Tamandua tetradactyla: one gene and its partner. The protein of the gene in region 1 interacts with the protein of each later gene in a pairwise test. Links are inferred from orthologs where the notes say so. Each region holds a gene or a part of one and is shown on either strand. Other genes may lie near its edges.

Evidence for each region. The genes of interacting proteins can lie anywhere in the genome.
Region 2: the proteins of PCBD1 (region 1) and HNF1A interact in binary tests that used the Homo sapiens proteins (3 or more experiments, as listed by UniProt). The link is inferred for Tamandua tetradactyla from reciprocal best matches to the Homo sapiens genes PCBD1 and HNF1A.

What each region holds. Positions count from the first base shown.
Region 1 is NC_135339.1:26,219,104-26,226,681, forward strand, and holds the start of PCBD1 (pterin-4-alpha-carbinolamine dehydratase), read left to right. Parts: upstream 1-4,507; 5' UTR 4,508-4,631; coding exon 4,632-4,634; intron 4,635-7,334; coding exon 7,335-7,466; intron 7,467-7,578. UniProt on the Homo sapiens protein: Involved in tetrahydrobiopterin biosynthesis. Seems to both prevent the formation of 7-pterins and accelerate the formation of quinonoid-BH2. Coactivator for HNF1A-dependent transcription.
Region 2 is NC_135331.1:21,255,737-21,263,297, reverse strand, and holds the start of HNF1A (hepatocyte nuclear factor 1-alpha), read right to left. Parts: upstream 3,060-7,561; coding exon 2,731-3,059; intron 1,183-2,730; exon of another isoform or gene 828-1,182; intron 1-827. UniProt on the Homo sapiens protein: Transcriptional activator that regulates the tissue specific expression of multiple genes, especially in pancreatic islet cells and in liver. Binds to the inverted palindrome 5'-GTTAATNATTAAC-3'.

The sequences.
Region 1 (7,578 bases):
TCTCCCGCCCACCGGCACCGCCCGGGGCCTGTGTCGCATCTCTTCCCCTTCCCCCAGCCATTCTCACGAGCACCCACCCGAGGCCCACGGACAAAAGCCTGTTGGTGCGCACAGACGCTCCTGAGATCTGGGTGCCGCTATTCCAGATCTGCAGCCGCAGAGCCTTCAAGTTTTAGCTGTTCTCTCCCTAGCCCTGCTGCTGAGGCCGTCTGAGCCCCGCGCACACCCCGGGCAGCAGTATTGCCCTGACTGCCCTATGTGAGGTCAGCTGCCTGATGGCCCAGAGACATGATCTGTACTGTTTCCGGCTGTTCTCACCGTTACAGTGGGAGCAACACTCTGTCTAGCTTTCTACCTCCTAAGTGGAAGTGGAACACCTCCACACCATCTTTTAAGCCTTCCTACCACCTTCCACCCACTGCCCATTGTAGGTCTGTCTTATGGCAACACCACTTTCAGGTACTCATTTCTGTAAAACTTGATAGCTTGAGGAAAATGCATATTGTTGTTTCTCACACTTCTGGGGGCTGGCTCTCTCTGCTGGTGGTTCTCTCCTGAGGTCTCAGGTGTGACTGCAGGTAGACAGAGGTGCTGGGACTGCAGTGGTTCTGGCTGTCAGCTGAAGCTCCTAGAGCCTGTGGACCAGAGCACAGCAGATGGTGGCCTCTCCCTGTCGCTGGGCTTCTCACCCCAAAGTGAGAGTTCCAGGAGACCAAAGCAGAAGCTGTGGACTCCTTCTGACCAACCTCAGAAGTCACACGTGACACTTCTGCCACATTCAAGTCAATACAGGTCCCGCCCTGATTCATTGTGGAGAGAACTATACAAGGACATCAATTGGGGGTCAGTGTCCCGGGGGAGCCAGCTTTGGAGGCTGCTAACACACTGCCTAACAACATACCCAAAAGGAGACTCTTCTCATTTAGGTCTTAAATATATCTAACTATAAAGGTAACAGAAGAAAAAGAATATTTTTGTGACAGAGTGAAGAAGGCATATCAACTAAAGTTTCAAAAGCAAAAATTCATAAGGCATGGGGGAAAAACAGGTGAATCTTATTACTTTAAATTAAAAGATGCCACCAAACAAAAGTAATTGTGGAAGAAGGTAGTGTACAGATGCGAAGAATGGGAGGAGATATTTGCAAGATCTAATCGACAAGCAATTATTATCTAGATACAAACTTCCACAAGTCAACCAGAAAAAGATGGAAAGGATATTAAAAAGCAGTTTACCAATTGTAAATCCCAAATGCTAACAAGCATACAAAGAGATGGTCAATATCATGAGTAATCAGAAAAAAATGCGAGTAAAACAACAGTGAACTACCATTTTATACTTATTAGCCTGGCTTTCAAATAGCTCCCAGCATCTCCAAGCATCTGTGTCTTGGTTTCATCTCTCTGCTCCCTGCAGCTCTGAGTTCTCCCTCATAAAGAGCTCCAGGGAAGGATTAAGACCCACTTTGAATGGGTGGGCCACATCTCCATGGAAACAACCTAATCAAAAGTTCCTACCCAAATAACAGGTCTGTCCCCACAAGATTAGAAGAACATGTGCTTTTCTGGGCAACAAAATAGTTTCAAACCAGCACAAGCCCCAGACTGGAAGCAACCCAGATGTCCAACAACAGGTGAATGAACAAACTGTGGCATAACAATAAACGATAAATAGTGGGACACTATAAAATAAATACAATGAATTGTATCAATAAAAAGGAAGCAACTATGCTCCAACAGGCTGAGTTTCAAAATAATTATGTTGAGTGAAAACCAGACACAGAAGAGTGCATATTGTATAATTCTGTGTACTCAAAATTCTAGAAAATGCAGGTGGTAATGGTGGAAAGATCAGCGGTTGACTGGGGGTGGGCTGCGGGGAGGGAGGAATCACACAAGGACACAAGGAAACTCTCAAGGCTGATGGATACAGTCAGAATCTTGACCTGGTTTCATGGAAGCATATATAATAGCAAACATCAAATTGCACACTTAAAATATGTGCAGGTTATTGCATGTCAAAAATACCCCCATAAATATCTATATCCAACAGAACGAAAGAGGACCCCACTACCATAAACCTTATAGAAAAAAATGTAGGGAAACATCTTCAAGATCTAGGCATAGGGGGTGGTTTCTTAGACTTCATGCCCAAAGCACAAGCAACGAAGGAAACAATAAGTAAATGGGACCTCCTCAAAACTGAATATGCCTGTGCTTCAAAGGACTTTGTCATAAGTGTGAAAAGGCAGCCAACTCAATGGGAAAAAATATTTGGAAACCACATTTCTGATAAGATTCGATATCCAGGATATATAAAGAAATACTACAACTTAACAATAAAAAAGACAAAAAACCTTATAAAAAATGGGCAAAAGATATGAATAGACATTGCTCCGAAGAGGAAATACAAATGGCTAAAAAGCACATAAAAAATGCTCAGCTTCACTAGCTACTAGAGAAACGCAAGTCAAAACCATAATGGAATATCATTTCACACTTACTAGAATGTGAACTATTAAACAAGCATAAAACAAACAGGAAAGTACAAGTGTCGGAGAGGATGTGGAAAAATAGGAACACTGAATTCACTGCTGGCGGAAATGTAAAAAGATGGTTTGGCGGTTCTTCAGTGAGATAAGTACAGACCTGCCTACAACTAGAAATCCTGCTGGTAGATATATACCTGGAAGAACTGAAAGCAGAGACATAAACAGACATTTGCACACTGAGGTTCATCGCAGCATTATTCACAATAGCCAAAAGATGGAAAGAACCCAAGTGTCCATCAACCGACGAACAGATAAAATGTGTATATATGTACAATGGAATATTACTCAGCAGTAAGAAGGAATGAAGTCCTGAAGCCCACAACCTGGATGGTCCTTGAGAACATTATGTTGAGTGAAATAAGTCAGACACAAAAGGAAAAATATTGTATGATCTCACTAATATGAGCTAATAATAATATGTAAACTCAGTCATAAAATCTAGACTATAGGTTACCAGGAGACAGAATGAGGGTAGAGAACAGGAAGCGCATGTTTATCGTGTGCAGAATTTTTAACTAGGTTCAATTTAAATATTTGGAAATGGATAAATGTGAGTGTAATTAACAGCACTGAATCATGTGTGTGATGATGGTTGGAAAGAGAAGTTTACATTTGTGTACGTCACTAGAAGGAAAGCTAGAGGTAAAGATATGGGACTGTATAATGCAATGAATCTCATGGTGGACAATGATTGTGAGCAACAGTGCAAGTATTAAGTTCTCTCATGAACTAGAACAAATAAATGTATGTCACTGTTACAAGGAGTTAATAGAATGGTATGTGGGGAAAATGTGCCTATTGAAAACTATGGACTATTGATAGTAATATTTTAATGTTCTTTCATCAACAATAAAATTGTAGCACACCAATCCTAAGGAATTACAAGGGGGGGAATAATGGGGGGAAGAGGTGGCATGGGTGTTTCTGGTTTTGCTTTTTGTAATGAAAAAAAATGTAATGAAATGTTCTAAAACCAACTGTGGTGACAAACGTAGAACTATGTGATGATTCTGTGAACCACTGATTGTATATTTTGGATGGGTTGTATGGTGTGCAAATATATCTCAATAAAGTTGCATTAAAAAATAATGCCCCCAGTAGCCATGTTTCTTGAAGATGATTGAATAATAATATACCTTTCACAATGTGACTGTGTGATTGTGAAAACCTTGTCTGATGCTCCTTTTATCTACCTTGTCAACAGAAGAGTAGAATATATGGAATAAAAATAAATAATAGGGGGAACAAATGTTAAAATAAATTTAGTTTGAAATGCTAGTGATCAGTGAAAGCGAGGGGTAAGGGGTATGGTAGGTATAATCTTTTTTTTTCTGTTTTCGCTTTATTTCTTTTTCTGTTGTCTTTTTATTTCTTTTTCTGAATTGATGCAAATGTTCTAAGAAATGATGAATATGCAACTAAGTGATGATATTGTGAATTACTGATTTTCTATGTTAATTTTTATTTCATTTGTTAATTTTTTTAATTAATAAATAAATTTAAAAAAATAAAAAACATAATGCCCCAATAAAGTGTTTTCTTAAAAGAAAAAGCTTGGAGAAAAAAAGAAGAAAGAAAGAAAAAGCTTGGGAATCTTGCGCTCAGGATCACACAGCTGGTAAATCACAATGCACCATTCAAACCCAGAACTCTGCATTCGGAGCCCGCATACTGAACCCCACGGCTCCCTGTAACAAAGGCACCAAGTACAGCTGTGAGAGGAAAGTGCTGGAAAGGACCACAGTGGCGGAGGGATCCCTCTTGACTCTTGAGCGTCCGTCGCAACTGTTAATCATTACCCGGGCCAGCAAGGCCGAGGCTGAAGAGCCGCCTAGTCCGCGGCTCGGGGCTCCTCCCGGCTCAGGGCTCCTCCCGGCTCGAGGCTCCTCCCTGGCGCGCCGGCTCCGCTCAGACCCGCGGACCTTTCCCGGGCTAGGTGACCGCTCCCGGCTCCAAGCTCCTCCCTGCCCTGGGGGCGGCCCTTCCGCGGCTCCGCCCGGCGCCTTGCCCACTGCGAGGCCTGCGGCGCTTTCCGGTGCACCCGATCTACTGCTCGCTTGCGTCCGCCCCGCGCTTGGACATGGTGAGCGGCGGGGTGGGGGGGACCAGGCGGGGGCCGCGATCGGGGCTGCGGGGTGCGGGAATCGCTCGAGGGTGGGCTGCCCCAGCGGGGCGCGGGCGGGAGCTAGGAGCCCAGCGCAGGTTCCGGCCCAGGCCGCCCTCTGTCCGTTCTCGACCCTCCAGCCTTCAAGGCTCAAGTAGGAGGGGCCCCCGGAAACCCCCTACGGACCTGCCGCGCGCCGGGCTCCGAGTTGGCGTCTCCTGGCCTAAGAATGGGAGCCTTGAGTTCACGCCCGGCTCCCACCTTACGGAAGTGCGCGGGGGAAACTGAGGCCCAGAGAGGGGCGGTGCAGCGAGGCGCCACACCCGGGAAACTGCTCCCTCCGCATCACAGTGCTGGGGTGGTGTGTAGGACCTGCCTGGGTGGATGGGGCCGTGGGACCTGGGGACGGGACGGGGTGGGGAGGGGCGTCCCAGTGAGCCAGCAGATACCGTACCCCTGAGAGGCACGGGTTCTGTTCTGTAGTTCTGAACGTGGAGGGCAGAAACTGTGAATTTGTCTGTTCATTTGCGTGCGTGTCCCCTCCTCTCCTGTCTTGCACTTCTGCCCTCACGCCCACTGCAGTGTCTGACTGGAAGGCTGCCCTCCATGCACCCCTCTACTGTCCCTGGGTCTTGGAGCCAGCCCCTGGAGCCTAATTTGAAGTCTGCCCAGCAGTGGGGGCGTGATCACATCCCTACTCCAGGCAGCCTTGCTCACCTGTGCTGCACTCACCCTCCCCAACCCAGCTAGGGAGGTGAGGGTGCGCCCGTGGGGACAGCAGGGAGGGTCTAGGCCCTGGAAGCTTTCCTAAAAACAGCCCATTTCTGATCCAAAGGCATTGGAAGCAGTCAGAACTGCCGTGGCAACTGGGGTGGCATCTTGAAGCTATGGCCACTGGGGCTGAGCAGTGCTGATTGTGAGGTGCACCAAGGCAGACAGTGGGTAATCAATACCCCCCTCTGCACACTGCCCCAGAGGCAAGAGGCCTGAACTGTGATCTGCCAAACGCACATGACCCTCCCCCCTCACTAATCCTGAGATCCCAGCGGGGTAGGTCATTTTAGCTCCAGAATGTGGGACTTGGGGGATTCCAGAAGACTCTAAAGAAGAAGGGGGTTCCCCAGGAGCTCACCAGTACCCACCCACCACTTTCAGAGCCAAAGGAGTAAACAATGGATTCTAATGGCTCAGCTGACTTCAGGGGTCTGGTTGCTTGGATACACAGACCAGCCTCATCAGCCACAGAAAAAGGGCAAGTTCTGAAATAGAGAAGAGCTTGGACAGATGATGTCGGTAAACTCTGCCATCTCTGTATTTATCCAGAGTGTAGTGGAGGGAAAGACGAGGCACCAAACCAGAACAGAAGAACCTATCCGAGAGAACACCTATTTTCAGGAGAGAGGACTTACCAGAGCATTACAGTGTGCCTCCAGTTCTACCCCAGACATACAGGGCCCATCCCAAGCCCATTGGCCCCAGGAAGTCTTTTTTAAAATGCAGATGACTGCTCACCTAATAACAGTGTAATTTACTAACTTGTCCCTCTGGTCCCTCAGCTGGCCCACTGGGAGAGATTATTGTCCCTTTTACCTATGAAGCCAAAAGAGGTGATGTGGGACAAGAGGTGATGTGGTACACAGGCACATGGCTGGGACTGGCAGAACTGGGATCAGTCCTGCCAGTTCAACCCAGGATTTCTGCTTCAAGCAGCCTCACAGATGTTAAAGTAACATGATCACATTCTCTCACCAGGCCTAGTTGCTTCATTTTGTTTTGTATCTTATCTGTTTCTGTCTTGGGTGGTTCTGTTGCAGGACTCTAAATTCTAGGATCCCTTGGGCTCCTGGACTAGATCGTCCTAGAGGACAGAGCTAACCTTTGCTCCCTGGTATTCTCAGAAGGTTCACCTCATTGTGAGGTTGTGCCAGTATGGGCTGCCTTGGGTCCACTTTGCATAATAGGTAAATAGGACAGGGGTAGGGTTTGTAGATCGCCCTTGGCCTTCCGGAGTTGCCAGAGCAGAGGACGGAAAGCCTAGTGCTGATTCCTTCACCAGGCTCCCAGGGATGCTGATTCAGTAGGTCTGGGACAGGACCTAGAATCTGTATTTGTCACAGGTGGTACACAGACCACATTTTGGGAACAGTGTCACTGAGTGGGTTGGGGGACAATGGACAAGTTATTTCCCTACTTGCCCTTTCTAGGCCTCAGTTTCCTTTCAATATACCTTAAGGTGAGTAAGGGCAGGAAAAAGAAGATTGGAGAGTTGGGGGTAGTTTTCCTGAAAGGCTGTGTTGCAATACATTTAAATCTGGACCTGATTTCACTTTTATTCCTCATTAATGTAATAGACCTTAGTTTGGGAGGAGGAAGGGGTCCTCTGAAAGACTTCTGGGGGGTGGGAAGGGGTGTTTCTCAGCCAAATGGCTTTGTGGTGATTTGTATTACCCTTAGGGATTTTCTTTCTCTGAGGGATGTGTAAAACCCAAGACTTAAGAACCTATAAGTGAATGAGCTAGGACTCCACCTCCTGAACAGGGCTAGTCTGCTGCCCTTTGACAGTGTCATCCAGCATCCAAGCACCAGTGGAGGCTGGCCAGATTCCCCCCAAAGCTCTGAGCAACTGTTTTTGGATCTGTAAAAGGAAATGCCCTTGGACCTGTATATTTTTCCTCTTAGGCCGGCAAAGCACACAGGCTAAGTGCTGAGGAGAGAGACCAACTGCTGCCAAACCTGAGGGCTGTGGGATGGAATGAGCTGGAAGGCCGCGATGCCATCTTCAAGCAGTTCAATTTCAAAGACTTCAATAGGGTATGGGGCCAGGGTGGGACATTTTTCTAACAAAGTCAGAACTTGTTCTTTACCTTAGATGCTCAGATACTACACTAATCTAGGGACTATGCCAATGGGAAAATTAACTTCC
Region 2 (7,561 bases), on another chromosome or scaffold:
ACAGAGAACAGACACATAAGGTAATCATGGCTGTGATCTGTGACAGGGGAAAGTAAATGAGGGTAATAGGAGAGAGAGTCACAGGGGTAGGGCCCACCTTTGGATGGGATGGTCAAGGGGCACCTCTCTGAGGAGGGGACATTTGAGCTGAAAGGAGAATGAATCTGCCATGGTAAGATCCAGAAAGTAGGCTCCACGCAGGAGGGACAGCACGTGCCAAGGCCCTGAGGCAGGCATCGGCTTGGTATGTCAAGGGACAGCAATGTCAATGTGACTGGAGCAAAATGACTAAGGGAGAGAGAGGTCAGGGAAGAGGCCAGGGAGGCTGGCGCGGGGACCAAGGCACGGAGTTTGGATTTCATTTGTTGTCCAGGTGGGGAAACTGAGGCAGAAGGCGGGAAAGAGACATGCTCAAGGTCATGCAGTGAACTAAGAGTGGAGACTAAGGGAAGCACTCAGGGTCTTGCTGTGACCTTAGGCACAGGGCACCCCAAAGGAGTTCTGGGACCCGGCACCCACCCCTGCCTTCTCCCAGACATTTGTCCCCTCCAGAGAATCAGCTTCCACTCAAAGTCCTGCGCCGCACCATCTTTGTCCAGCTTCAACCTCACCCAACACCCCGGCGTCCATCGAGGTTCCCCACCTTTCTCTCTGGCTTCTTCCCCTGCCCTGAGGCCAGAGGGCCCACTTTTTTTCCCTCAGGGCGTTTTCAGCTGCCTTTTGTTACCTGAACAATAAGTAACCCAGGTAGTTAGTTATAAACTCCACAGGAACAAGGAGCTGGTTGATAATTTATAGCAACATCTCAAATTTAAATGGAAAGTAAATAGCCTGCTGTTAGCATTAAAGAAAACCCAGTCGGGGTGGGCGGGGGAAGCACTCTAGCCTCCTCTCAGCTTGGGGTGCCGCAGTCTCTCCCCAGCGGGCCTGGGGTCCCTCCACCCTCCTTGGCCTGGGCTCTGCGCTACCTCTGCAGGCCTCTCTGTCTGTCTCCCCGGGGCCCTCTCTCGGCCTCCCCGCCTCCCCTGTCTCCCTCGGCTTCCTGGAATGCCCCGGGTCCCCACTGGCCCCCAGGGAGCACTTTGACCTCTGTTCCTTCCTCAAGAGCTGTGGATCAAGCCTCCCCCCCCACCCCGGCATCTCACCAAAGGGGCTGCTGATCAAGAGGCCCCACCTAGCCAGGTAAGAAAGGCCCCTGGCACCCCCTGCCCCCGCGCCCATCCGGGGCCCTCGGCGGGTCTGGGCCAGCCCCACCCTGCCCAGGTTGTCCTCGCCCTGGCCTGGCCTGTGCCTGTGCTCCTCCCTGCCGCGCGAGCGCCCTTTGCCCTCGTCTTCCTGCCAAGTCGGGGGCCCCCCGACCGCTCTCCTGTCCCCTTCCCGGGCCCTCGGGAGTCCTGGCAGACCCAGAGGTTTACGTGAGGTCACCGGGAAGGCCAGGATCCACCAGCCCTCCCCCACCCCAAGCCAGGATCAGGACCTTGGACAGAAAAGAAACGCTTCCTTGCAGAGAGTCTTTGGGACCGGCCCTCAGACCCCCCCAAGGCACCGCAGGCCCCTAGTCAGAGAGATCCGGGGCACCGGAGAGTATGGGGTTTGGAGTCCCACCTGGGCGTCCTTAATCAAGCAACTCGCTGAGCCTCAGTTTACCCATCTGTGACGCAGCATTATCAATAGATAACCAACTATTAGATGGTTAATACTAATGGATAACAGTTCCTTGGGTGGGGGGGGGATCTCAACGTTGATTATGAATGGGAGGCCTCAGCACAGTACCTGGGGGGTCGTACCCCTCAGCATGCTGGTGGGGGTTAGGGTGGAGGTCATGGAGCCTCCCCACCCCACGCTCCCCCGTCCCCACCCCCTCTGGGAGGTGGGGGTTTGGTTTGCTCAGGCTTCTGCAGGCCACCGTCCCTACAAGTTAATGATCACAGGCCTTATCAGAGCCTTTTGCCATTTATAAATTTATAAAACAAAAGAGAAATAACAAAGCCCGTGGGTAATTAGTAACCAGGTCAGCTCTGCTGAGGAGAGGGGAGGCATTGAGCACAGGACCCACCCAGTTCTCCAGGAGATGGGGAGTCAGCCAGCGGACAGGGGTACGGGACCGGGAGGCTGCTAATGGCGCCTGCTGGCAGGGTGGGGGGGCCTGTGGCTGAGCAGGAAAGGGAGCAGCTCCTGACCCAAGTTTCCATCTTCCCCAGGTAAGACAGACCTGGGCTTCCCCTGCCTGAAAGTCTTGAGTCCCAGGGTGGCCAGGGAAGCCCCTCAAACCCCAGCCTCAGCCCTTCTCCCCTGCCACGCTTCTTGGGCCCTGAGTCTATACCTGGAGGCCTTGGCGGGGAAGTTAGAGTTTGGGGGATTGAAATGGCCATGCTGGCTAGAAATTTCTACCACCCTGTGGCTCTCTAGGCATTGGGGTTGTGGGCTCTGCTGATATTTCCGCCTTTTCCGAGCTCCCCTGGAGCATGTCTCCACCTCCCAGGTGCTGGGCTGAAGGCTCAGGTTCAAGGAGGCACAGGACTCTGCAGAGGGGCTGCCCGGGGACTGGGTCTCCTTCCCCCAGGCAAGGACCCCTCTGAGCCCCTGTGGGCCCCGTCCCCCTTCCTGACACCTAGGCTCAGGGCCGCAGCTCATAGGGACCTGGAACTCTGAAGAGCAGCTGCTCAAGAGCTGGGGCTGGGCCCCTCTGGGCTCCGTCTTGGGACCTGGGGGCAGGGGAGGGGTCCTTACTGCAGAAGGGTCTCCACCACGGCCTTCTGGTGGGCCGCCTCCTCGGGGCTGAGGTTCTCCAGCTCCTTGAGGATGGGCGGCGTGAAGTCTTCCCCGTCGTCGTCCGTCTCGTCCTCGGAGCCCCTCGTCTCCCCCAGCCCATTGGGGAGCTCGGCCAGCTCCCCGCGGCCACCGCTGCCGGCCTCCGCCTTGTCCAGGGGGCCGTCTCCTCCGGCCAGCAGGTAGGGCCCCGGCTCCCCCAGCGCCTGGATCAGCGCCTCTTTGCTCAGGCCCGACTCGAGCAGAGCGGCCAGGAGCTCGGTCTGCAGCGGGCTCAGCGTGGACACCATGGCTCCGCTGTCACGTGTGGGCCGGCCGCCCGCCCGCCGGCCGGTGGGCGCAGACCGGGCGCCCTGCACCCCCAGAAGCCCGCGAGCCAAGCCCCGTGGGCACCCCCAACCCCCAACCCTGGCCCCGGCGGCCGGTGAATCAGGGCCCCTGCCCGCTCTGTTTACATTGGAGCTGGGGAAATTCTCCAAGGTTCATATTTATCCGTGTGCTTAGCGAAGGGCCTGAACTTTGGACTTCAGCCCTGCGGCGCGCGGAGTGCAGGCCTCATGGCGGACGGGGAGCCCCGGCCTAGCCCGGGAGTGCGGGGTGGGGGAGGAGAGGGTGGAGGGCCCCAGGGCGCCCCGGATGCGTGGGCACTGGCAGCCAGGGAGGCCTTGGGGTGAGCAGCGCTGGGTCCCACTCCTAGGACCTTGCAGGGGGTCAGACTGAGGCAGGAGAGCAAAAATAATAATAATAAACACGCGTCCCCTTTTGGGGGAAAAAAGCAGCAAAGGCGTTCTGGGCAGCTGAGCCAGCTCCCCTCAAGGGCAGGGTAAGTCGCATTCATTTTGGGGGATCACCCTTCCCCCCACCACCACCCCCAGGCTCAACAACCAGACCTCCCCATAGGGAAAACGTGTTGACTTCAGTCTACTGTGTTTGAGGAAGGCTGCTGGGTCTGAGGGGTGCCCGATTGCTTCATTGTTTCTACCTGACACTGTGGGAAGCTGTAGGGATTACCCCCGTTTTAGAGAGAAGGAAACTGAGGCTCCGAGACGTGAAGCGATTTGCCCAAAGTCACACAGCCTCCGAGGGAAGAGGCTTGCAGGGCCGGGACTCTGTAAGGAGACAGAGGCACAAAATTTAAGGGGGCACCAAAAAATTCAGTACCCCACATTAATACTGTGATGCAATGTCTTAAAAACTTAAAAGGAATGCAAAGTCCAAGAGAATGAAGAACTTGTCCACACAAGAACTTGTATATAAAATTCAGAGCAGAATTATTCCTAATAGGAGGAAGCAACTCAGATGTCCATTACCTGATGAATGGGGAAATTATAAAACGAATAAAGTACCGGTCCGTGCTACAGTATGGACGAACCTAGAAACATTACGCTAAGTGGAGGAAGCCAGTCCCTGAAGGCCACACTGTTTATGATTTCATTTTATATGAAATGTCCAGAAGAGGCAAATCTAAAAAGATGGAAAGTAGAATAGTGACTGCCAGGGAGCTTTGGGGGGAGGATGGGGAGAAGGGGCTTAGATGGAGCAGCTGTTAACGGGCTTTCTTTTAGGATGATGGGAATGTTCTCAGATTGATTGTGGTGATGGTTGTGCAACCTTCAATCCTCTAAAACCACTGAACTATACACTTCCGAAGGATGAATTTTACGGGGCATGAATGATAGATACATCAATAAAACATATTTTTTACCTGAATGCAGAAAAGTCCATGATGAACAAATGTCAAGAAATTAAATTAGGCCAGGGTCCAGCCCTGCACTTCCACGGCCTGCCTCCCTCGGCTCTCCCTGAGCCCAGCCCTGGGTGAGAGCCTCCCCGCCACGCACCCCTTCCCTTGTTTAGCCACAGCTTTCACAGCATTCGACGTCTCCCGGGAGGGAGGCACACTCTTTCCCCGAGGAGGCTGGGTGGTGCTGAGGGGCCATCCCCACCCCCCCTCCCCAAGCTGGGGCATTTCCAGAGAGCCCTTGAGTATCTTGCGGGAGTTTGCAGAGTCAGGGTCAGGTTTGGCCAAGAAGGAAGAGAAGGAGCCATCAGCCTGGGCACCTGCCATGTGGGCCAGGCCAGCAGAGGAAAGGGGCCTGGCCAACGATGGGTAAAATCCGAAGCTCTGCCCCCAAGTCAGAGCAAATCCACCTTCTCTGTCTGTTCGCCACCCCACCCCACCCCCACAGAGCCTGCGCTCCAGCCCCTTACTCGCTTTACTTCTTCATTTTTGCACAGTTCTCATCATTGTCCAAGATACTTCACACTGGGTGTAGCTAATGAGGACGTGCACTGTGGCTTACGGCCCTTAAGATGATGCCATTTGAGATATATTATGTTAGGTTTTTTAAAATTAAATTTAAAAATAAGAAAACATTTAAAAGGTTTAACCTAAAAACTTTTTAAATTAAAAAAAATACGTATTTTCACCTGTTTCTCTTAACTTTTTTAACGGTGCTACTGGAGCATTTAAAATGGCATAAATGTGACTTGCATTATATTTCTGTTGGACGGGCCCGCTGTCTGATTGACTCACATATGATGTTGATTATTTATGGACCCCTCTCTGCCAGCCTGTGAGCCCCGTGAGAGCAGGGCTTTTGTCTGTCTAATTCACTGCTGTATCCCCAGCGTCTGGAATAGTGCATAGTAGGTGCTCAATAAATGTACTGAATGAATGACTGAGTGGGTAAGGTTCATTATGCACTGACGATGTCTACTTAGCTCTGTGCTAAGCTTTAGCCACGCATGTGATTCTCAGAACAACTCTATGAAGCTGTAATTATCCCCATGCTGCAGGGGAGGAAACCCGCTCAGAGAAGGGAAACGGCTTGCTCCGAAACCGCCCCCCCCCCCCCGCCAGGTTTTAAACCCAGGCTGGCCACAGAGGTTGACACCAGCTGTGCGACTGGTGGCAAGCTGCTCAGGGACTGGGCAGCCTCCTGCTTGAATTCTCAAGTCCAGGAATTCTGTCCTGGATCCTAAGCCACACTCCATCAGTGTCCCTTCCTGGCTTCCCGGTCCTGGCTTATTCCCCTCGGCAGGGAGGGAACTTGCTGCTGGCAGTCGGTGACTTTTCACCTAGAACAGGGACCCGAGAAGGAGCAAGGGAGGAGGGGGGGTGCTGGATGTTTGGCACAACTTTTGAACTCATGTTGTACTGGAGGCCAGGCAGCTGGACTGGTGACTGCGACTGAAAGTAAACTTGGTTGGAGAAGGGATGGCGGGGTGGGGGGAGGGGAGAGCCTCCTGGGGCCTCCCCTGGTGGGGGTGGGGGGGTGGGGGAAGAGTCACTCTGATGGATAAAAAGGCCTGTCAGTCACCTAAGCCCGCCCTCCCCACCCTCACTGGGCAAAGTGGAATTAACTCAGTGTGGGGGGAGGCGGTTTGCCTTCCTGAGAATTTGCAGGGCCTGGCTTAAATTTCACTGTGCATACCCACCAGCAACCTTGCCCAGCTGGGTGGCTTCCCTCTCCCACAAAATAAAGATATGGATCTCGTAGAGTTGCTGTTAAGACAGTTTCTATAAAGAGTATAATGAAAGGATCCCAGACTTTCTTGGTTCAAGACACCCTTAGTGTCTCAACATTTCCGCGACATCTCTAGCCCTCTTCCCCCCACTAAAAAACCAACAGTCATGTTTAGTAAGCGGTTAGGTCAAAACAATAAATATATATGCCCTAACAATTTAGTGGTCACTTGAGAAAACAATAAAGAAGGCATATACATTGAAAGAAAATATTTTTAATTCATTCTTAAATAACCTTAAGAACCTACCAACAGGAAAACAAACAAACAAAAATAGAACATACCAACAAGATACATCTGTCTTCGGGGCTCTGCGAAGATTTTCGAACCTTGGAATCAGATTGGACACTACACCCTCATTTCCTGTTCCACAATGATTTTTGCAAGATACTTGCTCTTTTTAAAAATATATTTTTTATTGAGAAATATCCATACACATGCAGTCCAATCATATTATACAATCATTGCCTCACCACATCATCACATGGCTGTGTATTCTTCACCATGATCATTTTTAGAATGCTTGCATCACTCCAGAAAAAGAAATAGAAAGAAGAAAAAGAACTCATACAACCCATACCCCTTACCCCTCCCTCTCATTAACCCACAGTATTTTAATCTATCCAATTTTCACCCTTTATCTCCCCCATTATTTATTCATTTTTTTTCTCCTTAATATTATTTTTTACTCATTTGTCCATAAAGGATACTTGCTTTTTTTTTTTCTTTTGACATGGGCATGCTCTGGGGATCGAACCTGGATCTTTGGCTTGGCAGGCGAGAACTCTGCCACTGAGCCACCATTGCACCACTCAATGCTTGCTTTTTAATCACAGCAATTGCCAGAAGCCCAGCTTCACACCGCTATGACATCGTTGGAAGGAGTGCATCTTCAGCGAACCACGAAATCGTGTTCCACCTTGAGCTAGCAGTTTGCAAAGCGTCCAACAGATGCCGCTGTGTTTCCATGAAAAATCCTCTAAAATGGTCTGTGGCCCTGAGCCACTTCACTGCACAATTTGAGAACCGTAGGTCTAATGGTTGTCCCCTGGACATAGCAGATATTCAATAAACGGTAGCTGGGCACTTTTTCACGATCCTCTCCTACTTGGTGAGTAGCTGTCTGCAAGTCTGAAAATTTTTTGAGGTCCAGGCAGGACACAAGGCTTCTCCTTTGCCTTAAAAGCCAGAGTAAGAGCGGTGCCCTTTCGACTGCACTGCCCACCCCCCCCCAGCACCCACCCCGGCTGTTGATTTTAATCCA